Daphnia pulex: one gene and its partners. The protein of the gene in region 2 binds, or shares a complex with, the protein of the main gene of each other region. Links are inferred from orthologs where the notes say so. Each region holds a gene or a part of one and is shown on either strand. Other genes may lie near its edges. The genes, in order: GATOR complex protein WDR59-like, GATOR complex protein MIOS-A-like, GATOR complex protein NPRL3-like and nucleoporin SEH1-like.

Evidence for each region.
Region 1: GATOR complex protein MIOS-A-like (region 2) and GATOR complex protein WDR59-like share a complex: the UniProt entries of both Drosophila melanogaster proteins name them as parts of the GATOR complex. The link is inferred for Daphnia pulex from reciprocal best matches to the Drosophila melanogaster genes mio and Wdr59.
Region 3: GATOR complex protein MIOS-A-like (region 2) and GATOR complex protein NPRL3-like share a complex: the UniProt entries of both Drosophila melanogaster proteins name them as parts of the GATOR complex. The link is inferred for Daphnia pulex from reciprocal best matches to the Drosophila melanogaster genes mio and Nprl3.
Region 4: GATOR complex protein MIOS-A-like (region 2) and nucleoporin SEH1-like share a complex: the UniProt entries of both Drosophila melanogaster proteins name them as parts of the GATOR complex. The link is inferred for Daphnia pulex from reciprocal best matches to the Drosophila melanogaster genes mio and Nup44A.

What each region holds. Positions count from the first base shown.
Region 1 is NC_060019.1:12,026,612-12,033,779, reverse strand, and holds the end of GATOR complex protein WDR59-like, read left to right. Parts: intron 1-111; coding exon 112-247; intron 248-308; coding exon 309-513; intron 514-582; coding exon 583-866; intron 867-980; coding exon 981-1,131; intron 1,132-1,195; coding exon 1,196-1,275; intron 1,276-1,348; coding exon 1,349-1,421; intron 1,422-1,496; coding exon 1,497-1,814; intron 1,815-1,907; coding exon 1,908-2,110; intron 2,111-2,175; coding exon 2,176-2,354; intron 2,355-2,438; coding exon 2,439-2,566; intron 2,567-2,647; coding exon 2,648-2,684; intron 2,685-2,757; coding exon 2,758-2,959; intron 2,960-3,064; coding exon 3,065-3,240; intron 3,241-3,327; coding exon 3,328-3,525; intron 3,526-3,600; coding exon 3,601-3,724; intron 3,725-4,134; coding exon of another isoform or gene 4,135-4,175; coding exon 4,176-4,199; intron 4,200-4,371; coding exon 4,372-4,534; intron 4,535-4,599; coding exon 4,600-4,690; intron 4,691-4,798; coding exon 4,799-4,895; intron 4,896-4,960; and 5 more. Other genes in the region: G-protein coupled receptor Mth2-like, read left to right, coding at 6,108-6,239, 6,315-6,989, 7,062-7,168. UniProt on the Drosophila melanogaster protein: A component of the GATOR complex, which functions as a regulator of the amino acid-sensing branch of the mTORC1 signaling pathway.
Region 2 is NC_060021.1:9,126,516-9,134,209, reverse strand, and holds the start of GATOR complex protein MIOS-A-like, read right to left. Parts: upstream 3,282-7,694; 5' UTR 3,125-3,281; coding exon 2,995-3,124; intron 2,937-2,994; coding exon 2,484-2,936; intron 2,429-2,483; exon of another isoform or gene 2,421-2,428; coding exon 2,228-2,420; exon of another isoform or gene 2,157-2,227; coding exon 1,940-2,156; exon of another isoform or gene 1,884-1,939; coding exon 1,768-1,883; exon of another isoform or gene 1,695-1,767; coding exon 1,509-1,694; exon of another isoform or gene 1,444-1,508; coding exon 1,339-1,443; intron 1,279-1,338; exon of another isoform or gene 1,269-1,278; coding exon 1,042-1,268; exon of another isoform or gene 983-1,041; coding exon 849-982; exon of another isoform or gene 782-848; coding exon 643-781; intron 585-642; exon of another isoform or gene 574-584; coding exon 227-573; intron 171-226; exon of another isoform or gene 169-170; coding exon 1-168. Other genes in the region: tubulin alpha-1 chain-like, read left to right, coding at 3,891-3,893, 4,364-4,424, 4,499-4,520, 4,617-5,586, 5,648-5,893, 5,960-6,010; tubulin alpha-1 chain-like, read left to right, coding at 6,724-6,726, 7,198-7,258, 7,330-7,351, 7,434-7,694. UniProt on the Drosophila melanogaster protein: An essential component of the GATOR subcomplex GATOR2 which functions as an activator of the amino acid-sensing branch of the mTORC1 signaling pathway.
Region 3 is NC_060022.1:6,639,266-6,647,109, forward strand, and holds GATOR complex protein NPRL3-like, read left to right. Parts: upstream 1-3,428; 5' UTR 3,429-3,538; coding exon 3,539-3,569; intron 3,570-3,639; coding exon 3,640-3,729; intron 3,730-3,799; coding exon 3,800-3,906; intron 3,907-3,982; coding exon 3,983-4,159; intron 4,160-4,218; coding exon 4,219-5,124; intron 5,125-5,196; coding exon 5,197-5,462; intron 5,463-5,523; coding exon 5,524-5,692; 3' UTR 5,693-6,115; downstream 6,116-7,844. Other genes in the region: eukaryotic translation initiation factor 3 subunit D-like, read right to left, coding at 1,226-1,583, 1,643-1,785, 1,845-1,951, 2,007-2,094; uncharacterized protein LOC124195566, read left to right, coding at 2,705-2,781, 2,884-3,250; kinesin-like protein KIF2A, read right to left, coding at 6,309-6,502, 6,569-6,749, 6,811-6,981, 7,045-7,199, 7,259-7,391, 7,456-7,632, 7,687-7,821. UniProt on the Drosophila melanogaster protein: An essential component of the GATOR subcomplex GATOR1 which functions as an inhibitor of the amino acid-sensing branch of the TORC1 signaling pathway.
Region 4 is NC_060020.1:7,747,587-7,754,809, reverse strand, and holds nucleoporin SEH1-like, read right to left. Parts: upstream 3,946-7,223; 5' UTR 3,771-3,945; coding exon 3,660-3,770; intron 3,597-3,659; coding exon 3,440-3,596; intron 3,382-3,439; coding exon 3,230-3,381; intron 3,155-3,229; coding exon 2,808-3,154; intron 2,746-2,807; coding exon 2,585-2,745; intron 2,512-2,584; coding exon 2,348-2,511; 3' UTR 2,204-2,347; downstream 1-2,203. Other genes in the region: meckelin-like, read left to right, coding at 4,059-4,371, 4,451-4,716, 4,772-4,963, 5,025-5,309, 5,370-5,491, 5,554-5,713, 5,786-5,847, 5,923-6,145 and 5 more. UniProt on the Drosophila melanogaster protein: Probable component of the nuclear pore complex (NPC). Involved in maintaining the localization of another nucleoporin Mgtor to the nuclear envelope of early meiotic female germline cells.

The DNA of each region.
Region 1 (7,168 bases), on a different chromosome or scaffold from region 2:
AATTTTTGAATAACTCATTTAATAATTTTGATATGATTGAAGCACTCTTTGACATTCCAATTCATTCATAATTTATTAATTGTTTTTTGTTTTTATATTTTACTCTTCAAGACGAAGGTGCTTAGCAATTGTTGATGTTGACAATCCATCAGTAGTGATAAAGAAGTTTCCTCGTCAAAGCAAATGGGAGGTTGGATCAGCTGAATGGAATCCACACTCACATCTTTCACACCTATGTGCCATATCGGTATTTGTACTACTTCAATGTTGCATTTACCATGCAGATTTTTGAACAGTTTCTGTTATAGAGCAATCAACGAACAGAGATTCTTTCATGGAATTCTATTGACTTCACACCTCTCTATTGTTTACGTTTCCACACGCGTGCAGTCAGCGATTTAAATTGGCATCATTTTGAACCTTATCTCTTGGCTTCCTGTTCAGTTGACACTTATATTAACATATGGGATATTCGAGACCCTCGAAAGCCATGCGTTTCCCTCTCTGCCGTAGGTAAAATAAAATGGGACAAAATTTAGTATAATACAAATAGGATCTGTATAGTCTAAATATTGTTTACAGTTGGAGCTACTCAAGTGCGATGGAACCGCGTTACCAGCCATTTACTAGCAACTGCTCATGAGGGAGACGTTCGACTATGGGACTGGCGGAAAGGGAGTTCCCCCGTGCAATACATTGCGGCACATTTGCACAAAATTCATGGGCTTGACTGGAGTGCTAACCAAGAATATCAGCTTGCTACTTCCAGTCAAGATTGTACTGTTAAATTCTTTGACGTAAACAATCCCCGTGTAGTCGAGAATGCCCTTAGAACCGTGTCTCCGGTTTGGCGAGCGCGATTTACTGTAAATATGACAATTTCTTAATTTTTTTTTTTTTTTTTTAGTTATTTGTGTGTGATAAATCAATAGTTAATAGAACTACTAATTAACGATATTTTTTTTCTTTTGCCTGTATAGCCCTTTGGCGATGGCATGATGACAACACAATTACGACGAGGAGAAAACAGTTTGCTACTTTGGAGTCTATCCGATTTGTCTAATCCGGTTCATTCGTTTCTTGGGAATAACGATCTAGTTCTTGAGTTTGATTGGAAATCTTCCCGTTCCGGTATAATCAAACGTTCAAATTTAAATTTTTGGACTTTGAAATTATTTGATTTTTATATGTTTAGATGACGACGACTATCAACTTATCACCTGGTCAAAAGATCAGAGCTTACGAATTTGGAGAGTGGATGTTAACCTTCAAAAAGTAGGGCGAATTCAAATTTCAATTATTTTTCTGGTTTATGTAAAAAAATATTTAAAAATATTCTTTTTGCCAGTTATGTGGCTATGAACCTGAAAATCAACCACAAATCGTATATGAAGAAAACGAATCGACTTATGACGTTACTGGTGACATAAATTCATTAATTATTAGCATGAAAAATCTGTTTTATATTGTATTATTTAATTATTTAATATGTTCAGCTGTTGACGCAATTTCAACAAAAAGCGACAAAGACATTGAAGTTGGGCTTGAAGTAGTGGAAGAAACCTATTTAGACCTTCACCATAGTTTGGCACCGTCTATAATTGTACCTGACTCGTTACGCCTAGCTGGACATAAAACTGTAGCAGCCTCTATAGCTGCAGCACAAGCTGTACTAACCAACACGTTATCACCAACATCCCATCGGAAAAAGAAGTCTGCGCTGTCAATAAACAGTAGCATCGTCGGAATAGATGCGATTTCTCAACCTGAACATTATTCATTCAACAAGGAAATCGACCAACTTAAGTCATTAGGTAAATTTATGTCCCAAATGAACTATTAGTAATTAACTGAATACGTAAACTTTTCCCTGGAATAAATTTGTGGTTATTTTTCTGTTTCTTCAGGTTCCATTGGTACTGATAACTCTATCAGTGTTTGCGATGTAGACGAGACACAACGAAGCTTAACAACAGTGATTCGCACTGCAAAGCATCAAATAATACTTCATATTTCTATGCCTCCATCGTATCCCGACGGAGCGATTCCAAATTTTCTATTCGGAAAAGGAACGACTATTGACAACAATGCCAGAAGCAAAATGTTAAAAGTATTTCGAGAGAGTTTATTCTTGCGTAACTCAAAAGATTTATTTGACACGGCGGCATTGTACAGGTTTTGAAACAAGCAGCAACTCTATCGTGCCGCAAAGGTCATCCGTCTATAGAGCTCGTGCTACAACAACTTCTAATTTCAGTCGATCAGTTAACACCAATTGATAAGTCAGAAACGGAATCGTCAAAGACCATAACATTGAATGTCAACTCATCAACTACCGGAAATACTCCTTTCAGGTAACATTTAATTCGTATTTAGTTACTTAGATGAAACGTATATTCAATATGCTACTAAACATAATTAACGAATCTGTTTTCTAGGTTACCGCAAACTGGTCTTGGGCATCCTGGTTTCCTACAGAATGGCGGTTTATTTGGTAGTCTAACTCATCATCAAGACCACAATATTCCATACCCTCGGTCATCCGGTGCTCGATTTTGCAGTGCTGGTAATGTCATTAAAACAAAAAACATAAAAATATCCTTCAGCAAACTGCTATATTGATTTGCCCTTGTTTTATTTTATACAGGTATGCTGATTTGTTTTGGTCGACCATCCTATTTAAGGTTTTTGATTAATTGAAATGATTAATCGTACGACTAGGAATTCATCAGTTCTATTTTATTTATATAATTGAAGGCGTGTGAACAGTAAAACTTCGGACACTTCAACTACACCTCGTTCTCTATCCGTGAACCAAGCTTATTCATCAAACTTGGTACAGCATAGCTTGGTAGCTTCATCAAATACGACTCCTTATGGATTGTTGTATCCGCCCGTTGCTCAAAGTCCGACCGGTGATCCGTCAGTCAGCATCTCGTCTTTTTATAACCAAGACAGGGTAGGCTATACTTGGAAGTATTTCCGTGATTGCTGACATTAGCCTTTTATTAATGAGATAATTCCATTGCTGATTAAATAACAAAATATTTTGTAATTCATTCAGAGACAGAAATCTCGAACTTCTAAGTCGAAAAATAGACTTTCCTCTTATAGCTCGTCTTCAGACGAAAATAAAAGGGGAGCTCAAGAGGCACGTCATCATAAGGTGGTCGGAATGGTGACGATTTACGATGCTTCTGGATTGATGCCACAGCAGTTAGAATTAGCAGAAAGATATGTGTTAGTTTATCTTTTATATATTTTCTTGTATAATAATTCCTTGAATCAGATTTAGTCATAGTTTCATTACATATTTTTATTCACCAGATTTAGCGATACTGATACGGCATGGATGTGCAACCAAAATGCAGCGGTTGCTGCGCAGTTTGGCAGAAAAGATTTGACTTACATTTGGTCGTTGGGTGCCCTTCTGGCAACTCCTACCTTGATACACGAAAATAATACCAATGACCTTGATACCCCATGGGCTCAAAATCCATTCGGCCGGAAGCTTCTTCATGCGATGTATGTATATGTGTATTTATTTGATCTCTTTAGCGTATACTTAAAACAACACACCAACATTATAATTTATTACAGTATCGACCACTACGTGAAATTACGAGATATACAAACTGTAGCCATGTTGTGTTGCGCATTTGGTTACAAATGTGATAGTCAGGAAACTTTCCGGCGTAAAACAACACGATCGGAATCGGGCAGCGTAAGTGTAGAAGCTTATTTTAATTTTTTAACATGAAATCTGGCATTCTGAAACTTGGTATCACGATTAATAGCACTAGAACCGATAAGCAAGGTCTTACGTTTGATTGTTAAAAAGGTGATCGTCGGATTGGCTTTTCTCTCGAGTGTTCTGATCATAAAATCTTTTTTTATTCTAATTTCTTCGTGCTCGGCTTCCGTTTCCTGATTGCAATCTGGTTTCGCCTTCCTTTTTCAGGGGAATAATTGCATTTCAAATTCTTTGTGGTCTGTCCTTTTGTTTTTGGTTTTTTTTTTTTTTTTTTTTTTTTTTAACTAAATTATCTTGCTCCATAATATCGCTACTTCTTTGTCTCAACATGCTCTCTCTAACACTGTGGCTTATTTCCTTGGTGCTGCTGGGATTTTGAGAATGCTGACTGCGGGATATCAATGAGTTTTTTTTCCTACAGCGCAACTTACGGTGGGGTTTAAAGGTAGGCATATATTCCTCTAGATTTTACCCCCACGTAAGTGTGATGGTTTTTTTACATGAAAAATATCTAATCACAATAGTGGAGAATATGAGTTTTCCTATTTTTCCTCGCTTTTTTCTCTTTTAAGCTCTTATGATGAGTGAACTTTAATTATTCTGATGTTCAACATTAGCCAGGAGAATCACCGTATCATACAATACACCCGGGCGACACAACTTTAGATAGCTGGAATGTCTTAAAACAAATACGTTCAAATTCGTGGTCGGATTCACTTGATGATTTTCGTCTTGCAACTCCTGGAATTAACTCTGTCCCAAGTGGTCGCCCTTTGCCAAGTAAGGGCTTCTCCTTAAATTTTTAGAAATGTTATCAATTTTGTCTGAATGGGTTTTTATTTCAGTCGCTTCCATTTTCCTACCCCACTCTGTGACGAGCGTCGTTTCAGTGAATGGGACTGATGGAAGTGAAGAGTATAAAGACAAGGATTTCAGGTTTGAAATTTTTAATAATTTTGAAATTTTGATCGCATTCACATCAAGAGTTTTTATTGTTGTTGAATTTCGTAACTAAGCGTTTTCTTTTCTCAATTTGATTTCAAGATTACTAGATCCGAAATTTAATGGATTATTTGACAACTACCGTCGATGTTATGCTGATATCCTTTATCGCTGGGGACTTCTCGAGGCTCGCGTTTTGGTATGCGGATTAAAAATAATAACTTCTTGGCCGTACTTCTTGAAAACCAATTTTGTCTATTCAAGGTTTTGAAATATTTATCCACTCCCATTGATCCTCATAGAGGCGTGGATTTCGTAACTGAGTGTGTTCCTTGTAGGACTACGGTTAGAGGGCCGCAATGCACCCTTTGCAAGCGTTTGCTTCTCAATTGCGTTATTTGTCGAGTTGTTGTAAAAGGTAACTATCTTAAAACCATCTAGTAAATATCAGTCATGTAATAGCGTTAGAGGTGGCATAATGGTTGAATCATTTATTTTCAGGCTCTGCGAGTTTTTGTCTGGTGTGCGGACACGGTGGTCATGGTAGATGCATGTCGCATTGGTTCACTGAAGAAGACGAATGCCCTACAGGATGTGGTTGCAACTGCTTGTTGGAAAATAACACTGTGTTTTCCGTCTGATAATATATTAAATCGCATTAAATACGTTGAGACAAAGAATACATTTGGTTTACAAAAAACTTTGAAACTATACAAATTTGCTACAAAAGTAAAATTTCCGTTATTCTCAGGTTAAAATGTTAAATTTCTTTTTTATAAGAAACAAACGGAATACTTTTTTAAATATTTTTGCAGAAACAAAAAATATTATTAACAAATTTTTAAAAAAGTCCCGATAGGGATTCTAATTACGTTTCGACCCCAAAGCGTCACTTTATCGTTTCGATTACTTTAAAGTGGTCGGTCAACCCCCTGTGCAGTCCGTGACGTATTCCTAATACACTCATTTATGAACGCTCGTTACAAAAGTTGACGTTTTCCTAGCGAGTGATAAATGAGGTAACGTGTAATCAAATGTTGCTAACCTTTTAGGGGATTGTGGCTTATGATGTATAGAGGATAACGAAATTGGAGTGGGTCACTTCCGAGTGTGTGTCGAAACAAAACGGAACGACGGAGGTTGCGGTTTCTTGAAAAGGATAATTCACTCGTATGCACCAAATTACCGTTTGTCGAAAGTGACACGGCAGTGAGTTGCGACGCTCAAAACTGTCGACTAGTGAATCACGTCAAGTTATCCAAATCGTTCGGGGAAAAATAAAAATCCCTCCTTTCCTAAGGCTGAAATCATAAATGGTAGGTGTTGTCCAATATTTCCTAGTTTAAATTATGACATTTAACAATTATTCAACATGCTTCATTCCATGTCATGCAAAACAGGGAAGTTCATAATGCGGAATTTCAAATCTATTTTGGAAACATTTTACTTTGGTTACGTTTGCTGGATGTTGGTATTATCCAGCTCAGTATCGGCCGTCCACTCCAAGACGCCTTTGACGAAATGCTGTTTGAATTATCAAGCTGTAATTAATAATAATAATATACATTAAAAAAAAAAAAGATTTAAAATTAACAAATAATATCAATACAATCTGCAGTACATGGCGGAATTGGACGTCTGCCGCGATTGGAAAGGCTCCGTAACCCATTCGAAAATGTCCGCGGCCCCGCCCGTTTATTCTGTGGAGAGGAGTGCTGAACCCACTCCCGTCCGCGTTGAATCAAACAGTTTTCAAATGACGCATCGCCTCAAACGCTGCCCAAAAGGCTACGTTGGAATGAGTTCCACGGAATTCAGATTTTACGAGGACGGCTCCATTTTCAGCCAAGACGAACACGTCACTTACCAATCCGGAGACTTTTGCATCCAAGAATCCTTTCCTTCCGGACAGTTGATAGCCCGCTACTGCGTCCGAGATCCGTGCAACCGCACAGACACCTGCATCCGTAAATGCTGTCCAACCTTCAAGGCGTTCGATATTTCCACGACGCGCTGCATCAATTACTCGAGCCAGTTGAACGTGACGCTTTACAATCAAACCGGCTATTCGCTTAACCTGAAATCCGAAGAAATGTTCGTTCGGGACGGAGTAGCTCCACAGTGTAAAGATGGCTACAAGCACAAGCTTCTCAATCAACACGATTACCATCTGAGATCCAACGGTCTATTATTCGTATTCCCCAAAAAACGATGCTCTTCACAGAGTCAGACTGATGTTGACCTAATAACGGATGAATATTGTGTTGATTATTTCATGGACGTTGACGGCACGGTAACTAGATTTGAAAAATACCTGGAATTAATTTTTCCGAATTTTCAATAAGCTTTTGGTGTAATAATGTAGTCCGCTCAACATGCTCTGGTCTGTGTCGCAGCCGATGATACAAATCCTATTTATTCCATCTTCTTGTTCATCTCGTCTTTCTTCCTAGTCGCCACATTCGCCGTCTA
Region 2 (7,694 bases):
ATGAGTTTTCTTGGAAGTCACCCCAGATACACCAGATGCTGCATTCACACTCGGTTTCTTGGAAATGTGCTCAGTAGGTCCTCCCCACGATGCTAGCGGGCTTCCGAGGTGCATCATGCAAACAGCGCAACGTGGCAAAGGATTCCGGCAATTTGGGCAGCCAGTTAACTGTAAGATACACTCAAAGGTCAAATTCAGTTAAAGGGTTACAACTCATATAATTTACCTTTGATTTCACGTTTGGGTTACTCCGATTTAAAGGAAGCTTGCCTTTAGTACCAGAGAAAACTGAGATTCCTTTGCCACAGTAGTTACAGGAAACATAGACTTGCTGTGGAGGTTTTTCGGCTCCAGAGGGATTGCCTTTGTAGAATTGAACGTCAAATTTCGCCCGTTGCGTCCATAACCTCCAACTATCAAGCAGAGATCGGTAGCTGTTGACCCATTGTTGCATTCGTCCGTCTTTACTCACTTCAAGATTGGAAGCATGTAAACTGAGGAGACTGACTGTTTGAATATCACCTGATTTGTCCACATGACTCTGAAGCAGATTCAGTCCTTCACCTGACAAACCTGGAATGATGGTAATGACAATGTTTAAACTTCTAGTTTAAGTTTAAAAAAGTAGCTATTTTAACTTACCCGTTAAAAGCATCCCATCCAAATTTCCTTCTCTGGTCAACTGCCGATTAAGATGTTCAACATACTCACTTAGGTGAGTATCGGACAAGAAGCAACAAGCGAACCCCACTCGATCCCGAACAGTCATTCCTGTTTCGTTCTATTATTAAAGCAAATATAAATTACAATTATAAATATCAAAGTAGATTAAATGGATGATCCCATACCAAGACTGCTTCGTATTTTTCCGATGGACTGGTCAAAAAAGAAAATGCTGCTCGCAGATATGGATCATCCAGAGCAGTTTTATTCATATTGCATATTTCTTGTTGCCACAGCGTATCTCTATTATCGGTAAATCCTTGTAGAAGAAAAAGGTAAAATTATGGAAATGATACTATAACTTAAACTCAAATTTACCGGCTAAGGCGAGGGCGACTAACTGATAAGACACTTGATTTTTCTGTACACCACTACGAGTCAAAATCTTTATGGCTTTACGAATCTTCATATGGAAAACAGCCAGGGCAGCGGCTCGAGAAACCTGTGCATCCGCTTGAAGCTTTTCTAGCAATGGTCCCAATATGGAATTTTCAGGATCGTACGGCCAACCACACAGACGCAATGCTTGGTTCCGTTCTTCACTCCTAAAAAGCCGTAATTTTTTTGGTTTTGTAATAGGTAGTCCACTAATTTTTCTTCAAAAGATATATTTACCTGTAGACGCAGACAGGTGAAATTTTTGCGGACTCCACACCATTCCAGGGAACGTGGAATACTTCTGATTTTAGAACTCCATCCGTATCCAAACGCAAAGCAGACCTTTCGAGAGTTTTTCCATCTTTAATATCAAATTATATATTCAGATTTCGAGTGAACTTCCTTACCTAATACCCATAAAGTGAACTCCTAGCGGATTTCCTGATTGAGCCAACTTCCGGCAAGTATCGACCCAGGACCAGAGCTCCCTGGTCGTTACATCCTGCATTAATTCTGAATCAGGTTTGAAATCAGCTTCAAGTCCGTAACCTTCAACTGCCCGCTGGCGCATTGTTACCGAAACATCCCCGAACCTAAATTTGAAGTTTTCCATTTCAGAGAAGGTAGGGGTGGTCAAATTTAAATATGCAAAACCAAAATTCTTACCTGGTATAGACGGAATCAGTTTCATCGATGTACTGCAATATTTTTTTGCCGCAATTCCATACAAGTTTACTCGATGGTGACCAATTAAGCGTGATTCGATCAACAACTATATGCTCCTGAAAAGGATAAATATGGTAACATCTATCATCAATACGTTTATTTGATAAAATACCCTAATATTAAGTGATGTTGTGGAATAAAGTAATCGATTCTCTTCGTTTAAATGCCACGCAAAAGAAGATATGGTTTCATTTTGCTGATCAGTCAAAATCAATCCACGTTCCAACGGAATGGGTTCCATTTCTTCTGCCGCTACACCGTTGGCATTCTGAATGTCGTACAAGGACAAAGAAGTGCTCTCTTTACACAAGACTCCCAGGAAACTGTGACTGTTGATTTAAAAAAATTGAACATTAATTCAACAGTATTTTTTTTCCATCCTATAATTTTGAGGAATTACTGAGTGGGGCACCAGGATATCTTGGAAACGGCCTTATTCTGTTGGAGTGAAAGAACAGGCTTTTCAAAATTTCTTACATCCCAAATGCATATGGCATTATCACTATATGATGCAATTCTGTGATTAACAAAAGGATCCTGAATGATTGAAAATACTGCACGAGTATTTGTTGAACTTGTGTGCTTTGGTCCATCTGGAAAAGTAAATTAAAAGTGTTACTATTGTAATGGTAAGAAATCATGCTGAACTTTTTTACCTCTTAAATCATACAGACGAAGTTGCTTGTTATTGACCCCAGCTGCCATTGTTTGTGAATGACTGAACCATGTTACAGAAGTAATTGTGTCTCCAAATGCTGATTCCAGAAAGGGTCTGTTACCATCACTCCCACCTTTAGTAACATCCCACAAGATCAATCCATGTTCAGATCTGTGTTTGTCAAACCCTGCTGCAAGGACATAAGGCTCAGCTAGACCCCATGCTAATGTGTTGCACTGTCTGTTATGTTTTGATGCATATTCTTTTCCATTTAAGGGGGAAGTTTCTCCAGAACCAAGTACTGATGTTAACAAAACTCTTCCATTCATCTGGCCAATGGCAATAACTCCTTCAAGCTCTGGTACAGGGAGCCATGCCAGACATTTAGCAAATGCTACATCTGTTAAACAACCTAGCTGGTAAGCCCTACTACTATTCGATATCTGAAAGCCTGAAATAGAAAATAAAATATAAACACATGATAATCGTAAGGTAATATAGTTTCTTACTATGGGTCGAGGAGATGTCATCTCTAACGGAAGTATTTTTAACTTGATAGAGCCAAATATCACTCCCCCAAGTGATGAATTTGTCCTGGCTATTAGGGGACCAAAATACTTCCAAACGCCCACCAGCCATTGGAAAAGAGATCTTTATTTATTGTACGGAAAACACAAAATTCAATGAATCAATGTCAACCAGGTGGAAGACGTGATAAAGGATTTAAAAAATTTGGAATTGCTCAACAATCGGTAAGTGGCGATGAGGGACGAACAATTGTTTACAACGCTAAGAGCCCTCTAGGTGTAAATGAACGAATCACGTCTCGCACGTAGGCATTTTTAGGCGCGTAAACAGATTTTAGTTTCGCTTGGTGCATGCGACCCAGTTAATTCCGCTATCGACCAGAACGAATCGGAAACTGCGAATTTTGGTATACAGTATATTGTTTCGCAGTCACAGCAATATCCAGGTGAATGGGTTCTTTATCTTTATTAAACGAACCTCTATAACTTTCTACGTAATTTTGTTTCCTTCTTCAGACAGTTCATTATTTGCTTCTCTTTATGCTGCGATAACCACATTCAATACTTGATTGTTGAAATACTGTGAGAATTCTCGCATCAAAACCAACTTTCATATTTGACTGCGCTAAATCCTCTTTTCACCGGTTAAACCACTAGAATTCGTATTTTCAAGAAGGCTGTACATTTTTAACCGCCAGGTGTCTCTTCTTTTTCCGCTATTTTTAGCAGGCTCTCTCCGTCTCTTCGATCTCCTTTAGTATCCCGAGAACCGTTTTCCCATAGAGGACGACATCACTTCGTTGCTCTGTGAAAGACGCTCATCGATCCCACGCACGACAAACTACATAGTCAATCCGCAGCTTTAAATACTTCTCAATATGGTACGTTCGTCCGTTTAATGTGCTTGGGTTACTTTGAGAATGGTGCGTGTAGTAATCCTTTGAAATGTCGTCACAATCCCTTTCGTACAATCAGTATTGCGCGTTAAATCACGCGATAGTTTGACCTCTAATTGTATTAGCGAAACTATCGGTTTTCTGCTGCGATTTTTTCTTTTGCGACATCCAAAATAACCTAAAAATGGCTACCCCCCAAAGTCTCATTACCGGTCCGCGTTGTCGGTGCCCCCAGCATCTATCCATATGGTCGCCAGCTGAAATTTCTCGGATTTCCTGTTTGCTCTCCCCCCCAATCAATAATGAATGTCCGGTGTTACGTTACATCTGGCACTTAAAATTCTGTTAAATTTGATTGAAAAGGGAGGGTTTTACGAAGAGTTCCTCGTCTAATTCGGATTAATGACGTCACTTGATACAATGCAAGCACTAATCAAATTTGTTTGTTTCGACAGCGCGAATGTATCTCAATTCACGTTGGGCAAGCCGGAGTCCAGATCGGAAATGCCTGTTGGGGTAATAAATAAAACGTAAACCGAAATTTAAAAAGAAATTTAATTAATTGTAATTTTTTTTATTCATTAATTTAGAACTGTATTGCTTGGAACATGGGTAAGAATATTTTACAAACTACAAAGATTTTCATTATTGCGTACATGTCAATTTCATTGATTTTTCCATGCAACATTAATTATGTAACCCATATAGAATTCAGCCTGATGGCCGTATGCCCTCAGATAAAACCATTGGTGGAAACGATGACTCGTTCAACACTTTCTTCTCTGAATGCGGTTCGGGCAAGCACGTCCCGAGAGCAATCTTTGTCGATTTAGAACCCACTGTGGTTGACGAAGTTCGCACTGGCACTTACCGCCAACTTTTCCATCCGGAACAGTTGATCACTGGAAAAGAAGATGCCGCCAACAATTACGCTCGAGGCCACTACACCATTGGAAAGGAAATTGTTGATTTGGTGCTTGATCGAGTGCGCAAACTGTCCGATCAATGCAGCGGTCTTCAAGGATTTCTTATCTTTCATTCATTTGGCGGAGGCACTGGCTCCGGATTTACTTCACTTTTAATGGAGCGACTTTCTGTCGATTTCGGCAAGAAGTCGAAATTGGAATTTGCCATTTATCCAGCACCTCAAGTCTCCACTGCCGTCGTTGAGCCGTACAATTCGATCTTAACTACTCACACTACTCTGGAGCATTCAGACTGCGCATTTATGGTCGACAACGAGGCCACTTACGATATCTGCCGTCGAAACTTGGATATCGAACGACCCAGCTACACCAACTTGAACCGATTAATTGGGCAGATTGTCTCGTCCATCACGGCATCTCTCCGTTTCGATGGAGCCCTTAACGTCGATCTTACAGAATTCCAGACCAATTTGGTCCCATATCCTCGTATCCACTTCCCGCTTGTTACCTATGCACCGGTCATTTCCGCAGAAAAAGCTTATCATGAGCAATTGACTGTCGGAGAGATTACTAGCTCCTGTTTCGAGCCGGCCAACCAGATGGTCAAATGCGATCCCCGTCACGGCAAATACATGGCGTGTTGCATGTTGTACCGCGGAGATGTCGTACCCAAGGACGTTAATGCTGCTATTGCCACCATCAAGACTAAGCGTTCCATTCAGTTCGTTGATTGGTGCCCAACTGGTTTCAAGGTATGGTTGCATTAGAGTAATTGCATACAGTAGTATTGTAATCCATCTTGTTTATTATTAGGTCGGTATTAATTACCAGCCCCCAACTGTCGTTCCTGGTGGTGATTTGGCCAAGGTTTCCCGTGCCGTTTGCATGTTGTCCAACACGACTGCTATCGCCGAGGCCTGGGCTCGTTTGGATCACAAGTTTGATCTGATGTACGCCAAGCGTGCGTTCGTCCATTGGTACGTCGGTGAGGGTATGGAGGAGGGAGAGTTCTCCGAGGCCCGTGAAGATTTGGCCGCTCTCGAGAAAGATTACGAGGAGGTATTGATTAATGTGTTTTTCATATTTAAGTTACTTGCTTATCATTTGCTTTCTAAAAAATTCCAGGTGGGATTGGATTCCGTTGAAGGCGAGGGCGAAGGCAACGACGAATATTAAACCAATTTATTACCTAAGAAAACATGGTTCCTTTTAACCTAGCTTCAGGTGTCTGATTAGTATTTTTCGTGTCTCCATCTCTTCTTTTTAAAGCCTTTCGATCAAATATGAAAATTCTGGTGTTGCATTTTCTTCTTGATCTTTATTTCTAATTTTACACGCTAACCAAAAATTGAATTCTCCAAAGTACAGTGGCATTTGCGATTCAAAATTTTTCGGATCTCTATCATGTCTTCCTTAAGAGCTGCCTTTGCAAAAAATGAACAGAGAAGTAAACAAAATATAAAAGAATCGCCATAGACATTTATGTTTCAAACCATTATACATTCTACAAAGCAATTATTTCATAGCAGTAGAACTGGTAGAAACCTTTTTTAAAAATATTCTTATTTTAAAAAAGTTTAATGGTAAAATCTGATAATATTTAACCGGATTATTGAACGAGTATTTGCCATGTCTCTAGTCTCTTAAAGCTCCGCAGGAAAACGTTTTGGCCTTGTTAAACGTGAATTCAAAAAGTGACATTTTCTAACCGCCAGGTGACGCATAGGCTCTCCGTTTTCTTTATCGCAGTCTTTCCGTTACTCTTATCAGTATCCCGAGACCCGTTTTCCACAGAGGACGACATTACTTCGTTGCTCAGTGATAAACGCTCGCTTTTGTTACCACTTTAATTAAAGTTAACTCGAATCCATTCCAAATCACTTCTGAAAATGGTATGTTACTAAAACTTTATTTCTTTTTCCAATTCAACTGTGACATGTTTATGTAACTAGCTATCTTGTCGTATGAATGTTAGGATTTATGTAACACGGATGCACTGATAATTCTATGAGATCATGTAGAGCCATTAATATGAGTTACAATAGCAAATTTGTCATTTTTCTAGTGAGTTTTCCAAAAATTTGACTTTAAAATGGCCCCCAAGTGCATGAAGCATGACCGCATGCCGGTCCCGCCCTTGGCGCCCTATGCATCATTGCAAATGGTCGCCGGTAGCGATTCAAACTTCCTGTCAGTTAGGGTGTCACAATGCATGTCCTTGATCTGATTTCCTTTGACACGTTATTCGGTGCTTACTGAACAATTATTTTGGAAAGGAAATATAATTATTGTGCCCCATTGTATATGTCAAAATATATTTTAATTTCAAAAGTTTAATGTAATCACATATTTTCCCCTTACAGCGCGAATGTATCTCAATCCACGTCGGACAAGCCGGAGTCCAAATCGGAAATGCCTGTTGGGGTGAGATGTCTAGACATGGTTTATGAAAGAAATGGTTTTTAACCCTCCCTTTCTGTTTTATAATTCTTTAGAACTCTATTGCCTGGAGCATGGGTAAGATTAAATATTATGTCTAGTTATTCATTTCCTTTAATTGCTTTATCTCTACGACAAATTAATCATTTAAAATTTTTAGAATTCAGCCTGATGGGCGTATGCCGTCAGACAAAGTTGCGGGAGCATCTGATGACTCGTTCAACACTTTCTTTTCGGAATGTGGATCGGGAAAGCACGTGCCAAGAGCAGTCTTTGTTGATTTGGAGCCGACTGTGGTTGACGAAGTTCGCACTGGCACTTACCGCCAACTTTTCCATCCCGAGCAGTTGATCACTGGCAAGGAAGATGCCGCCAACAACTACGCCCGTGGTCACTACACTATTGGAAAGGAAATCGTTGA
Region 3 (7,844 bases), on a different chromosome or scaffold from region 2:
AGGCTGAGACTTGCAAACTCATCAACATCTGGAAAATGAAATTTGCAAATTCCTACAAAGATCCTATGCTTCAGGTGATACTTAATTAATTTATGTCAACTTTCTTTATTGACACGACAGCAATGTTGGGTCATGTATGTTGACATATTGATATAGCTGATGTGATATTTCCACCAATCAACAATTTCTCATGAAACATTTTAATGGTATTAAAAAAGATCATGAATCAATGTGGAGGGAACCCTTATGATGCAGTGTCATTGGCTGTGAAATCGGCCCTTTATGCAACATAAATTCCATCTATTAAAATATCAACCATGGATGGATATCAACATGAACTGGAGGTATTCAATAACACTCATACTCAGGCTCATCGTTGTCGAAAAGCACTTGGAGGAGGAATGCGGCAGGCGGGTATTTTGGCCGCAGCCGGAATTTTGTCACTTTCAAAGGGACCTACCAGGGTAGCTCAAGATCATATTTTCACCAAACAATTGGTCAATTGGCTGTTACTGCGCAAGAGGTTGGAAAAAGCGTTGTGGAAGTTGATCGATATACCGTAGAGACGAATATGGTTATGCTAAAAGTCGAGCCCATATCAGGTGCTACCCCTAATTCAATTGTGAAAAGATTTGCTGAATCTACTGAAAAGGAAGTTCACGGGATCGGTCAAGATATTCGTTGGCTTGCTTACCCGATGACTGAAACGAACATCATAATTGTTGTTCACTGCAGTAACCCACCTGAAGACATCAATCTCGCTCAAGACAAATAAGGGTATGTTTTTGATGAAATCAATCAAAGTAACGCTGTATAAGTAAACTGGAAGCTTCATAAGTGCTTTATTCCATGTAACGATCATTACAAACGTAGTATTGTTGTAGATTGGGGAATTAGTGGAAGAGCTGTTCTTTTGTTTGTATCAGCCGTTACTCGTCTTCTATTCATGTGTAAAAAATGAATACATGTGCATGTACATGTTATTTACCATTTCGTAGTTGTCGTTATGAAATCATGCGTTTTATAGCGCTTTTTTTAAAACTACCTTAAGTCATGTCGCATATCTAATTAGGTTTTTTTCCCCCAAGAAGCCAAGCACTTCCACTAGTGGTTAGATATTATACATAAATACAAAGCTCGAGCTTCGAATTCAAGCAAAACGTAACACGGCGTACAAATGTAGGGAAATTTGATTAACTGCTTGGACGTGTTTATTTAATCTTTGCTAGTAAAAAAAAAGAGAGGCCAACACCCAAGCAATAAAAGTAAGCCAGCAGTTACACACGCACGTTACGATATTGATTGGTTTCAAACCTTCTCCTTCTCCGAAAAATGCTTCATCGTCGCTCTCAAACGTGTTATCGGGCACCTTGTAAAGGCGGATGACGGGCTTGTTAGGATCCTTCACCAACAAATATTTGCCATCCTCTTCCTTCATACACAAATAATTAATCCAACGGAGAATGCCCCAAGCATTGTCGATATTAAGGTTGATTTGCGATGCGAAATCTGACAGGTGGAACTGCTGTGTTCCAAGGATTACACGACGCGATGTATCTCGTAAGTGCATACGTGAAACATATCTGAAGCAAACAATATTAGTTACAATAATGTTCGAAGGACAACAGGAGCCTTCACATACCCGAATTTAATCCAATCAGAGTTGGCGAGCAGAGCTTGCACAGTCCATTTTGCTAGCTTGCATGCATTATTCTTCAGCTCGTTGGCCTGAACAGCACCTCGCTGAGTGTCCAGTTTCTGGCGCCATTCGACTTCACCAGACAACTTGAAGTACTAAATTATTTTAAAGACACAGTTTCATTACGAACAGTAAATATGCATACCCTTGAGTCCCATTCATTAAGAGCTTTGATGTTGATAAATTGGTTATCACCAGCCGATCCAACGGTGACAGCGTCATGTTCGCAACGTGCCACCAGGACACCACCTCCTGAAAACTTAGTATTAGACTATTTATTTCAAATTCAAAGTTTTAACCTACAAACCTTCATCAAAGTCAGTACACAAGGAATGTTCTCTGTGTTTAGTCTCTTGGTATTCATGATCTATTTTAATGCCATTAAAATGATTCATGAGAAATTGTTGATTGGTGGAAAAATGAGAAATTGATGATTGGTGGAAATATTGACAAATTCCCCCCAAAAAACCTAAACCCCGTGAAAAAAACACCCTATCGGGAAATAAATATTTAATTTCGGTGATATTTTAATTAGAAATTGACGTAGGTGTTCGTTAGTTGTCGCCGCCTAGCGGTGATTGTTGGTTTACCACTCTATGATTCTCTGGTTTTGTTTTGGTTTGGTTTGATTAGGTGCGTCTGCTATCTGTGATTCTCTGGTGATTCTCTGGATTCTGTTTGTTTCTAAAAACCATAGTTTACAATTCTTAGCGCTAGGTGGAGACAACCAACGAACACCTCTCCCGTCCCCTCAAAATTTAACCGCAAATATCTTTTAATTTAATATCTTCACAAGAAAGGTGCTTTGGAGACTTAGAATAGCTTTTTTAATCTCTATCGATTGACCCTTCTTAAAAAAATATGATTAAAAATACACCCGACAAGCTATAACACGGCGGGATAGGACGTGAGTCCCGTCCTCTAGCTTTAGTAGTCCATGGTGGATACAACAGGCCTTAACCATAGAGTAGGCCATGGGGTAACTAGGCTACTACTACTATAAAAATGTTGGCTGTTAGATCTTTCAATAGACTTATTTATTTCAAAAGGACACAAATTGGAATCCAAAATGAACAACTGAGGTATGAATTTTGAAATATTAACTTGTGCATCTGTGTGAGTGTGACCTTATTATGGAAAATGAGTATGTGACAAATAAATAATGATGGTATATTTTTTTCTAGGACTGTTATGCAATCTTGTTGCAGTAGATCCACTAAGCAACCAGAAAATCCTGATATGCCTTTGTCATTTTCCAACTCAAACGCTGCCAAATGGTCAGCACAACAATCATTTAGTGGTGGAGGAAATACTGGTGAATCTCCATGGTATGAGCCATTTGTGATTTCAGCTAGTGTTACTGCCATACTAGTGTGGTTTTGTGTCCTGAGAGAAGAAAATGATGTTGATGATAAACTTGGAAAAAGTTTATATGACAGAGTTGATGGTTTGGAGAAGAAACAATTGGAATTGGCTTTGAAGCACAATATCCAAGGAGTGGATACAGTAGCCATTAAGAAGAGACTAGATGAATTGTCAACAAATAGTTGAATTTCCTATCTGTAAACATAATTTAATTGAAGTTGAAATACATTAAGTAAAAACCAGTTTATTGTTTGGTAAATTTTTTGCGATTCTCCTTTTCAAATCATTTGTTTGCTATTTATTTTTTTTACGTTGAATCTGTGAAGAAACCGTAGATGGCACTGTTTTGTTTTTGATTTTTAAGAATGCAGACGAAAATTGAAGCAAATCTCAAAAATTGACAGTTTGCGTCTTGCGTGGTGTTTCTGCCTCTAAACGCCTGAAGTTAGCGAGAAAATTCATAGAAAAAGAAGCATGGATGTCAATCCGTTGGCGGTAATTTTGGGTAAATATATTATTTACAGATAAAGCTTATTTCAAAAGAAAATATTTAATGGGAACAAACGTGGCTTTAGTCGAAAACGGTAGCAAAGGTGATCGTTTGTTGTTTCGCTATCCTTATGATACTCAAGCTACACCAAACTTTGCAAAACGTACACGCGCAAGTAAGTTCCTTACGAAACTCCATAACTTCCAGCGCAAGTCTCCAAGTTTTTTCTCTGTTGTATTGTATAGAGCAACTGCAAACTCCATACCCCCAGATCAGTGCTGAAGATATGCAAAAAACAAGTGCAGCATATTCCAGTACAATTAGTGGTAGTGTTCACAGCTTTCCAAGCAAAGTATGTTAATATACTCTCTTAATATAATCTGTTTTGAAACATTGAAGGTTATTAAAACATTTTTTCAACTATTTAGGTATTATCCAATTTGTTTGCTGTGAAATCAGAATTGTGTGGAAAAAAATTTGAAATAAAAATAAATGACATTCGGTTTGTCGGTCATCCACTTCTTGTTTACCACCAGGGTGAAGGCAAATCTGCTGGCTCTAGCCAGGAATCAATTTTGTCTTTCAATGTAGTTTTTGCCTTAAAGGTAAAGAGATTCCATTTTAAACTTGCATGATTTTCATCAATATTTTTTACACTTCTAAGGCATCTGCAAGTCATGCAGTAGTTGACTGTTATCATGAAGTAAGCAAGAGAATAGCAGCTGCACTTTGGCATGAAGAGCGTAGAGTGGCATATTTGAGTGAAGAAGCCAAGGTCATGACATCCACTCAAGATGACATTTCTTCGGAATTGCCCGATGATCCACTAGATGTGCCGTACCATTTAATTTTACAACGAAGTCAGCTTGCGCGCGACTTGCGTCGTGTCTACGAAGATTTACAAATTTCTGGGAAGATACATTTGCGCATCAATCGATGGATTCTGATCAGCTGCTGTTTACCTCAAAAAATCTACCACCTTCTTGACCCTGGACTTGTTATTGAACCAGCAGACATTCATGCTTGCATGGAAGCATTGAGACCATACCACGCCATTTTGCTGCTTGGGGACAAAGAAAAAATCATCAATAATCTACCTCTTGATTCGTCCCCCGCTTTGAAACGACTCATAAATCTTGCGAATCCCCTAAAAAGTTTACAAACTTTAGCAGCCGATGCTGACTTGACGCTATCACACGTCTTTCAATTAGTGGGTCACATGCTATACTTTGGACACGCAACCATTATATATCCTCTTTGTGATAGCAATGTTTACGTCCTTGCAGGCAGTGCCAACACTTCCCCACAATCCAAACTTGCTGATGTCTTCTCCGAAATGTTCAATAGTGCTTGTTTAATTCAGATTATGTCCGAATTTTCCGTTCCTGTATCATTGAGCCAGAGAAGGAATCCACTCGCCACTCCAGAGCAAGAATCAGAGGAAATTAAAATTATTATTTGGATGCTGCAACATCATTTGCTCATACAATTGCACACATATGTACATATTGTCGTTGATGACATGCATCCGAGATCATTTAACAAGGGTTCATTTCGTAGTGCCAAAACGGTAAGTTTTTGTGTTTAAAGTATAACGATTACTGTAGTTAAATCAGACAGTATTGTTTGAATTATCCCCTAGACGCGTGTAACGTTTGCAAGTCGCCAGTCCACTCCAGATGAATTGAATGCTGGATCCAGCCTTACACGAATGCCCAGCGATAGCGACATGGCCTCTGTTATTAGTGACGAGGCTTTGTCCAGTCCACCTTCACATAAGAGCATCAGTAGTAAAGCTCCGTGGTCAATCGAAAATATTCTTTCGGCCTCTCTGAGTAATGCTGAAAGAGAGGCTGTCCTTCAAGTTGATGCCGCTGCCAACTCAGAAGACTTGGAACTTTTTGCTCGGTAAGCTAAACTATTATTTAAAAACATCTTTTCATGAATAATCTAATAGAAGAAAACACAGGCTTTGCAAATATTTCCGCGGGAAACACCATCTAGAGGAAATCATGTACTTGGAAAATGTTCGAAGATCGGACCTACTTCACCTTATTGACAAATTTCGAACTATTCTCATTACATTCGAACATGAAGATTCAGCTTGCTCCGTTTTCTACAAGAATTCTACAACTTAAATATCATATTTTTCAGTGGAAATCAAAATTGGTGAATGTTATATGGAAGTCGTTTTCACTTGATTTAAGTTAAAAGCGGTATGTGAACATTGGCGTTAACACTAGCTCGCATCAAAAACCCTCCCTATTGGTCTCCTACGAAGCCGACTGTTGCCGTAGCTCAATACCTGTGTCTACATCGCAGCTTGCGAGGTAATCTTACGTCAGGAAGTCGGTTGGGGGCTAGTGACAGATAGGCCAATGTCGCATTCCTGTTCAACCTTTGTAAACTTTAAATTTTATCTCAGGACAGTATATGTTTTATTTGCTATTAAAATATGAATTTTCCTAAATATTTTACAAAATCCTTAGAATCAAATTTGGCAGAAAGTGAGATTGCTAATTGTTTGGTAAAGCAAGAATAAATATATCTACTTTTACATATGTTAGCTCTACTTTACAATTGTGCATGGTAATATTCACCTTTATGAGGAAGCAAAATAGATGGCAATGAATGAAGTGATGATGACGTACAGTGGTGAAATATTACAAGCTAAAACCTGTTTAAAGAATCTTTTTTCGGGAAAAGCTCAAAGAGGTAGAAAGATAAATAAAGAGATCGGCTGAACGACTGCTATTATTCGCAACGTTCTGCTTCGCGGAGCTGATTTCCTTTGTATGCCATTGATCTCGGATGGCGGAGCATCTTAGGTCGAAGGTTATCTACATCATCTTCCTCCAACTCTTTTCGGGCTTGGATAAACTTGGTTTTGAGAGACATAACATCATCGCCAAACTCAGTCAGTACAGTAGACATCTTCGAAACATAGGCTGCAATCAATTAAGAAGTTGCATGTGTTAGAAAATAAGAGTAAACAATAATTTTACTTGACAAACCTTCAAGATCAAAATCAAGTTGATCGGGAAGTTCGATTAGCTTAGCAATCGTTTCATGCCATTTCGGAAAACTCTCAAGTAAATTACGATGACTTTCAACGACATCTTCCTCCATCTCTTGTAATCGGAATGCCGCTTCATGAAATGAATACAATTCTGCCGAAAGTTCTTCTTCTTCTTCCTAAAATACCATTGTAGCTGGAATAATGAAACACAAAAAAAATAAAAATAAACTTCCGAACCATGATCAATTGTAGATTAGGCTCCGAGAATGATGGGCTCGATTTCAACAGGTTTGGTTCATTTTCGGAGGGATCACTCACATCCACTGCTAGCTCTTTCACACGATCAGCATACCTGAGTGTATTCAGTGAATTCTCACAAGAGGACATACCAGGACTTATCATTGCGATCTAAGAAAATAAATAAATTAAAACGCATATTAATCCATTTATCACCGCTGTATTGAAATTTACCATGCAAGTTTTGGATTTTTCTCCTATAAAAGAATCTTTTAACACTTGGGTTAACTTCGAAGCACGAAAGGGAAGATGCGCTCCTCGCCGCCCAAGAGCCCTGATACATTCCTTCAACGCTAATAGGGACTTGTTGATTTCTGAGCCCTCCATTCCTAAAAACTCATAAATCACTTGAAATAAAATAACACAAGGAATTAAAATGAGAGCTAACTTGTCTGTCGATCCGAAGAGTTAGTATCCGCTCCACGTTCGTTGCCAGCAAGATCAACAAGGGAAAATTTGCCATAAAGCCGAGAAGCAGCTCCAGTGCGCAGAATAATTTGAAACACAGCGTGAGAACGTGACTACAATGACCAAATGAAAGACAATTAAAAGAGGAACCTACACTATCCTAAACTAAACCACTACCGAATTTGCATTTGCTGCTGTTTGACCACTAGTCCTCATTCGACTACCATGACGTATAAGATCCAGAACCTGATCAACAGATTCAACAGTTCTTTCACTTAAACCCACTACTTGAACTTGTTGTTTTCCATCTTCCAATACGCGTAGCTTTGCTTTACCATTCAGTAAGTCAAAAACCTAAGAAAAATCTTGAATAACGGTGAAATAGAATAAGCGTGTAAATAAACTTACTTTTCCTGAATAAATTTCGAAAAACGATGCCGATACTTTAAGATTAAGGTCGCGGTATTTAGGCTGTTGAACATTTTTAAAAACATCAGTTGCCGTTAAAACATAAATTCCGTTACCACAATTCTGATTCTTCCCCTGAATGAAAGCACATTAGGTTA
Region 4 (7,223 bases), on a different chromosome or scaffold from region 2:
CATGTTGAGTGCCGCGGCCAACTCGTTGACGTCGTTGCTACCAAGATAAGGAGACTGCAGAAACTTTCTCTCCAATGCCCCCACCTCTGTTGTAGAGAAGGGTATGCGCGGATTACGGTAACGGTTCCTTAAGTTCATTTCTCTTTTAGCACCTTTAGAAATATTACATTAGTTAACAAAATGTCTCTATCTCTATTAACAGTGTTACAAATGACTCACGTGGAAGCTTCGGAGGTCGGTAGCGTGTACAATAGACCCAGGAAAAGTTGGGATCGCTGTGATCGCTGATGGACCTCGACTTGGATTCGGAGGTGAAGATTTCCGATGAAGTGACAACAATCGCTGATGGTGTAGATGTTCGAGACGATAGGATTGCTTCAATGCTGAAATCAACTTTCGGTTTCGGCCTAACGGTAATTAACTCGATTGGTTTGTCTACAGCAGCCATGAAAACTCCTTCTTGCGGCAGTCTGTTTCTAACAATGTTTTTATTAATCGTGGACTCCTCTGTTGTGGAACCTTCTTGATTAATTTCCTGCTCTTTGTTGATCATTTCGGAATCCATCTTCTAGGTTCGAAATAATGCACACGTCTAAATAGATTTGCTTGAGTAAGAGCTCCGACAACTCAACATCACTGGGCGACAATCTTGCTAACTAATGAAACCGATGGCTGACCCGCGAACGGCTTTGGTTTTCCTTAGTCGACAAGATAGATGTATCAAAGGGAGGAGCTTGCAACTAGCACCCTCAATAACCAGTGTTACTGGAAGACTAGGCTATCATATCACATTGGTTTCGGGGGATGTAAAGCGAGAAGAATGGTATGGCTTTTTCATGCTGTGATCATTGAGGTGAATAGCATCGAAATAGACAGCGGAGGTAATTGGTAGGCCACCTATACATCTGCCCGATGGCTATGAGCTAACAAGTACAGATGCAGCCGCCACGGTTGATGGACAGTGATTTCACATGCCGCACCCGCACACCCTATATTGTGTTATAGCTATGCCGAACTAAGCAACAGAGTATTATTTCCCCGCAAAATTGAAAATTTTTGCACTTGTGTTCTGAAAGATTCATAAAAGAAGCAAACGAACAAAGTTTTTTAAATATAAGGGGTAATGCTATAAACGGAAAACTTGGCAAAGTTCTGTTATTTCCATGAATTTGTATGAGTTAGTCCCAATTTAGTTTGTAGTCATCGACTTGAATATCATCACTTTATCTGCGGGTAACTACGGGTAAGACTAAAGACGAACAAGATATAGCTGTAGCCGTATTCACTCGTCAATTATATAGATTTATCATTGTTGTTATTTAATATAGGATGTTTTCGTCTGATTTTAACCAATTTTAACAAGGTAAAAAGGGCATGAAGTATGAGATCCGAGAAATTGAGAGTTTGTCAGATAATATTAAGAAAACTGATCGCTTTGTTTTTAATTAACACTTAGGTACCAAAGATGCATTTTACTATTTTCGGTCATCGTGCTGATTACACACAGTTTTATATCTACCCATGCAAACTGTGATGCAACTCGACGAGGCAGTCCACTAATTAAGCCATCTAGATAATTACAACACTTAAACAGCGTATTTCTATTTGTATTAACCTGCTAACTTCAAATCTAAAAAAAAAAACTGTAAAGAGAATGAAGTTCACTTGCTAGAATTATACAAATTTACCGGAAGGAACTGATAGCTCAATTTCCCATGTTTAAAAATGATTTTTTTAAAACTAAAATCGTAAATTTTTGTGATGGCTATCACTAGTTTAGGGAAAATCACGAATAGGATGATTTTCCTATATTTCCTACAGACACATGCAATCGACCCAAAATTTGACGAAGATCACAAATCCTTAGTTCTTTTCTTATTTGCGTCAAAATAATACTTACTGATAATATTTACGGAACTACTGACTTTTAAACTGGAGGTAGACAAAAACAAACGTTTGCAAAAATCTAACAGGTGAGTTTTGTAATATTCAGTTTTTGTCAAAAATCACAAAAATGACCTTACAGTTTATTGTTGTAAATGTCCTTAGAGATGTGTAAATGTATGCAGTAATGCAGCTGAAAATGATCAAATCATTTGAATCATTTCCCTCCTAACAAAAAAACAAATAGCTACTCTACTAGAGAAAAGTGTTTTTATAACAACTTGACCCTAAACGAATGTGACATGAAAAAATGACATAGTTTAAAACTCCATATCATTTCATTTATTTCTTCAGAACAACTTTCCATTTTCGAGACCATGGGTTTCTCCAGAAATGAAAACTCCCAGTTATTTGTGTGGATTGGAAGAGACATATTATTATCATAAAAATTGGGAAGTAAATGTTAGTGCCAGGGTACTTGATTTGGATTGCTGATTGCGCCAAGTTTAAAGTAACGAGCAGTTGCTGCAGAAACGGTTTTATCACGATCAGTTCCGTCTTCTGGACTTACACCCGATCCATCACCTTTCAACACGGCAATGCATTTCCAATTCTGCAAATAGTTGGCTGTGGAAATAGACAGTAAAAACAGCTGATTTAATAGGCCAGACATGGCATTAAATATTTCTTGATTTCTTGCCTTTCCACATTCTTAAACAGCCGTCATCTCCTGAAGAAGCTAGAATAGTTCCAGTAATGTTCCAAGAGATTCTCCAAACAGTAGAATGATGGTCATCAAATTGGGCTGCCTGCAGTATCTCCAACTGGGAAGTTGGACAAGCTGCTGCATAAGCATCTTTCCTTTAATAAAAAAAATTATAAATTTATTCTTATTCCATCCTTAAAATATTTTAACTACTTACTGAGGTGGTTTAAGAATAACTATTCTAACATCTTTGCTTGCAATTCCTAGAATGTGGTAACTTCTTCCCAAGTTAGGTGCAAATGCTATGTCATGCACTGGGTCGACTATTGTGTTGATAGTTTCAGCTTTAGACCAGCGATGGGAGCTTTCACTGTACTCAAACAGAAACACTTTTCCACCAGAGGCGACATTCGTGTCATCACTACCAACTGCCAACATTGGAGGATGGAGACGAGAAAATGACGGATTCCATGATAGACAAGACACAGGCATTTTCAGTGTTATTTCTTGCTGCAAACTCCATTGACTTAGGTTCATAATGTCTGGGGCTTCATATATTCTAACCTATTATGTTATAAAATTGACATTTTCATCTGGTTTATATATTTAACAATGTAATAAATATATCTTAGAACTTACTCCTCCATCAGCTGAACACATAGCTAACAATAGTCCCATGTGTTTTGGAGCAAATTTGATGTCAGTCACATTGGTTCTTGAATCTACCAAACTTGTCCTTTTCACCCAATGACTTTGGTTTTTACTCTGCGTTGAATTCCCTGATTCACCAACTGGATATGCATTTAGTAACTAATTTAAGTTGTTAAAATTGTAAAGAATTTTACAAACCAATTTCTTCCCAAATTGCAGCTGTTCTGTCAAATGAGCAAGTGGCTAAAATTTGACCAAATTCAGGATGAGCCCAATTTACTTTCCAAACAGAACCAGCATGAGTCTTCCAATCAGCAGTCAATCTCCATTCATCATTTTCATCCAGGTCAAAAACCTTGAAAGATAATTCCGCAATTTAGTTAACACAAGAAATTTTTTTCGATTTCTAACAATTTACTTTAACACTCTGGTCGGAGGAACAAGTAGCCAATCGACGCCCATAAAAATCATAAGCTACATCATGAATCAGGTCTTTGTGTTCAGCATTTATCGTTCTTGCTTGAAACATGTTTACAGAACTTTTTAAATCACTTCTTAATCACGAGAAACAAGTTTTTGCTTGCAAATTTCACAGAATTAAGAAAGCAAGAACGCAAGCAGCCGACAGCTCGACTGATCAAACTTCAAATGTATGGCACTATGGCAGTATGGGACAGTTGTGGGCGTTGCCAGATTGATTCATGAAAGAAACGATGTTTTTTCTGATATTGTTGGTTGGCTGACTTGGCTCATTGCTGGGGAGTGGTTGCTAGGTAACAAATATGCTTTACAAAACAAACAAAAATTTAAAGTGACGATGATCGTGTTAGTTGCTCATTACCTGCTTTTTTTCATCTTAAAGAAGGTGGAGGCTTACGATGTCATATTGTCTTCGTTTCCTGAAAGCTGCAATCGTTCCTCCTACTTTGATTCGATATCACATAAGTGCAAAGGTTGCGGGGTCTTTCAAATATCTTCCGATGACCGTTTGAGTTGTGAGTGTGGCTTTGGCTACTACCCTGAATTTAATGAAAAGTCCAAAGCAATTGAATGCTTACGCTGTAACCAATCAATTCAGTCAGAAATGTGTCTAAAAAGCAATCTCACGTGTGAACCGTACGACATCAAAGGTATGAAAAACGCACATTTACCTAGGTCCTATCTGCTAAGTATAGTAAAGAAGAATTAATTTCTGAATTTTTATCACAGTCCTTCAAATTACTGGAAATATTACCTCCGCACGATGTCTGAAATGCCCGCTTTGGCATCAGCCTGATGACACAAAATCTTCGTGCGTTCCTTGTTCGAACATGTGTCATTGTCCTAGTGAATACGAAGATGTGAACGGAACTTGCGTCAAAGATTTATTCACGATTCCCGAAACACCCACTATCTTTACATATAACTTACACGGGAGACCTTACATTTCTAATTATTTGCGGAATTGGGTTAGATTGACGGCAATTAAATGCAAGGTAGGAATTATTTACCATGTTTGTGCTATTAAACACCAATTTTTTTTCTTTAAAGGCACACGGTGGAGGAAAATACTGCGAACATCTGATCAATCTCTGTGTCTTAACGGATTACAACTACGATTCTCAGTCAGCTTGCTCTCTTTATCGACAATTATCTGGAGGCTTTAGCAATTCAATATACTACGACGATAGTCAAAACGAATATCTACTAAACTCCGCCAGGATAAACATACTGAAAGATCAAGTAGCATCTATAACTTTTACGGACTAAACAGGAAAAGTTTTTCATTAATGACTTTTTTTAGAAAATGGATTTTATGGTTAAACAATACGCATTAGATGGTACATATTTATTGATCCAGCCTCTTCAATCGGTTTTTAAATCATTGTGCTGCACTGGAACTTGGAAACCAATCCAACGAAATGCCAATATTTATCACAGCTGTTCGGTTTATTCGAAAGTTTTCAACATGGCTGATATGCGCTTTTATGAAATTTATTTCGTTGATCGGGCAATTAATCAATCAAGATTGATCAACGTTCCAATAAAAATATTGAACCTTGTTCGCGGAGGCGTTCAACGTAATAGGGTAAGTTTATACGCTCAGAAAATACAACATTACTACGGTACTAAAACCTGATGAACAAAGGAGGATAAAGATATTTCTCGATGGCAACTCACAAAGAGGTTCTTTAATTTTGACTCGGCAACTGGAAGTAATCAAGAAGGAAACACCGACTTCGTCCGATATCTATCTTCTCTTACTATTAGGTAAGTTTTTTCATTATAAAAAAAAAGCGAGAACAACTTTGAAACTTGAACGCATTTCTTAGAATTTCTGTTATGTCTGGTGAAAAATCACTAGCATTACGATTACCTTATGCAACAATCAACTACGAATCTATTGGTAGCCTTGAGAATGGAAATTCACCCGTTATTCATTTCGCTGTAAAAAATACCGTTAGTATGGATGAAGCTATGAAATCTCTTGAGGTAGAAATTATCACATTGTTCCTCGCATTCACAATCACGTTATCAATAATGAATTTTTTGGTTTATCAATAGATTGCACTGAGCGTGTTGAGCACTTTCGGGGCTCTTTATGCTTTGATAAGGATTGTCGTATGGTATGTACTGGCAACTTTGGATAATTTGATTAGCTAACTTTGATTGGGTTTTCACTAATAATAAATAATTTCCAGGTACATAAGATCAGATAAAGCAACAATTGATCTTCAGACTCTAATTCGCTTGTTGGTCTACGGAGCAGACATATTGGCCAACGTAATTTTAATAGTGATTTTCTTCATCACTTTTTACTGGTTTATGACCTTTCGACAACAAGAGGAAGTGACTGTTAGTCTTCCTGCAAGGCAAGAAGAACAGTTTATTAAAGACCTTGTCATTAGTGCTTTCACGTTAAAGGTCTGAAATAATTGGAACTATTCATAGTCAGGTCATTTTAATTGTATCCGATTGTATCTATGGATCCTTTGCAGACGATTAGTGTATTATGGATGATCGGAGAACAATGTAACGTCGATATTTTTCTTATTGACTGGGAGAGTCCGAGGCCGACGAAAGGCGAAATAGTTAGCGTATGGAGGATGTTCTTTGTTGCTAACGAATGGAACGAACTTCAAGTAGCGCGTAAAAGCTCTATATCCATACAGGTCATTCTAGTGTTATCGACACTCAAGGTATAATTAGTGAGCTGTGATTATAATGAAGCGTGAAAATAAACACCAGTCATTTGGTAGGTCTTCCAGTTTGAGCGATTTTCTTTAGAAATTCCAGCTACTTATTTCATGGCAGACACGTTTTTAAATTACAACACAGTGTTGCGCCTAGCGCTTGGTTTGTCCACCTATCTCTTCTTCAGCCTAGCGCAAAATATTTTGAATGCCGCGCTCTTCGAACGTTACGTTGAGCACAAAATCCAACGATTTACTGATGTCTGTACACTTTCAAACATATCAGTTTGGCTTCGAATTCACTCGCGCTACGGCTTCTACATTCACGGAAGGTTCCTTATCTTCTCAGTTAACTTTTTAAATCTTTCTTGGTATTAACAATTCAAATATTTTACTTTTGACGGGCATTTAGATCGCCGCATGGATTTGCAGACATCGACATGCAGACCATGTGTCAACAATTACAAAGGGAAGAAGAAAATCTGTGCGCTCAACGAGGTCTTGTTCAGGGTCAAGACACTCAAACGTTTTCCATTTTCTTCCACGAGACTCTTTCAGATAAATGGAGAAAACTTATAAAGAATCAGGTGACGTCTATTTACTTTTATTTACTTTCCGTTTCAATTGATCTGATAATGTTGGATCAGTCTAGCGGTACCAGCACTCTATTTTTCAAGCTGAATGAATTTTTTACATCTTTCCTGGATCATGTAGGTTTATCAACCTTTTACAATATTACTGAATTGTACAAATGAAGGCTTATTTTTAAACAGGCTTTCAGGGAACTCGACTACGAAGTGCGTGATAGA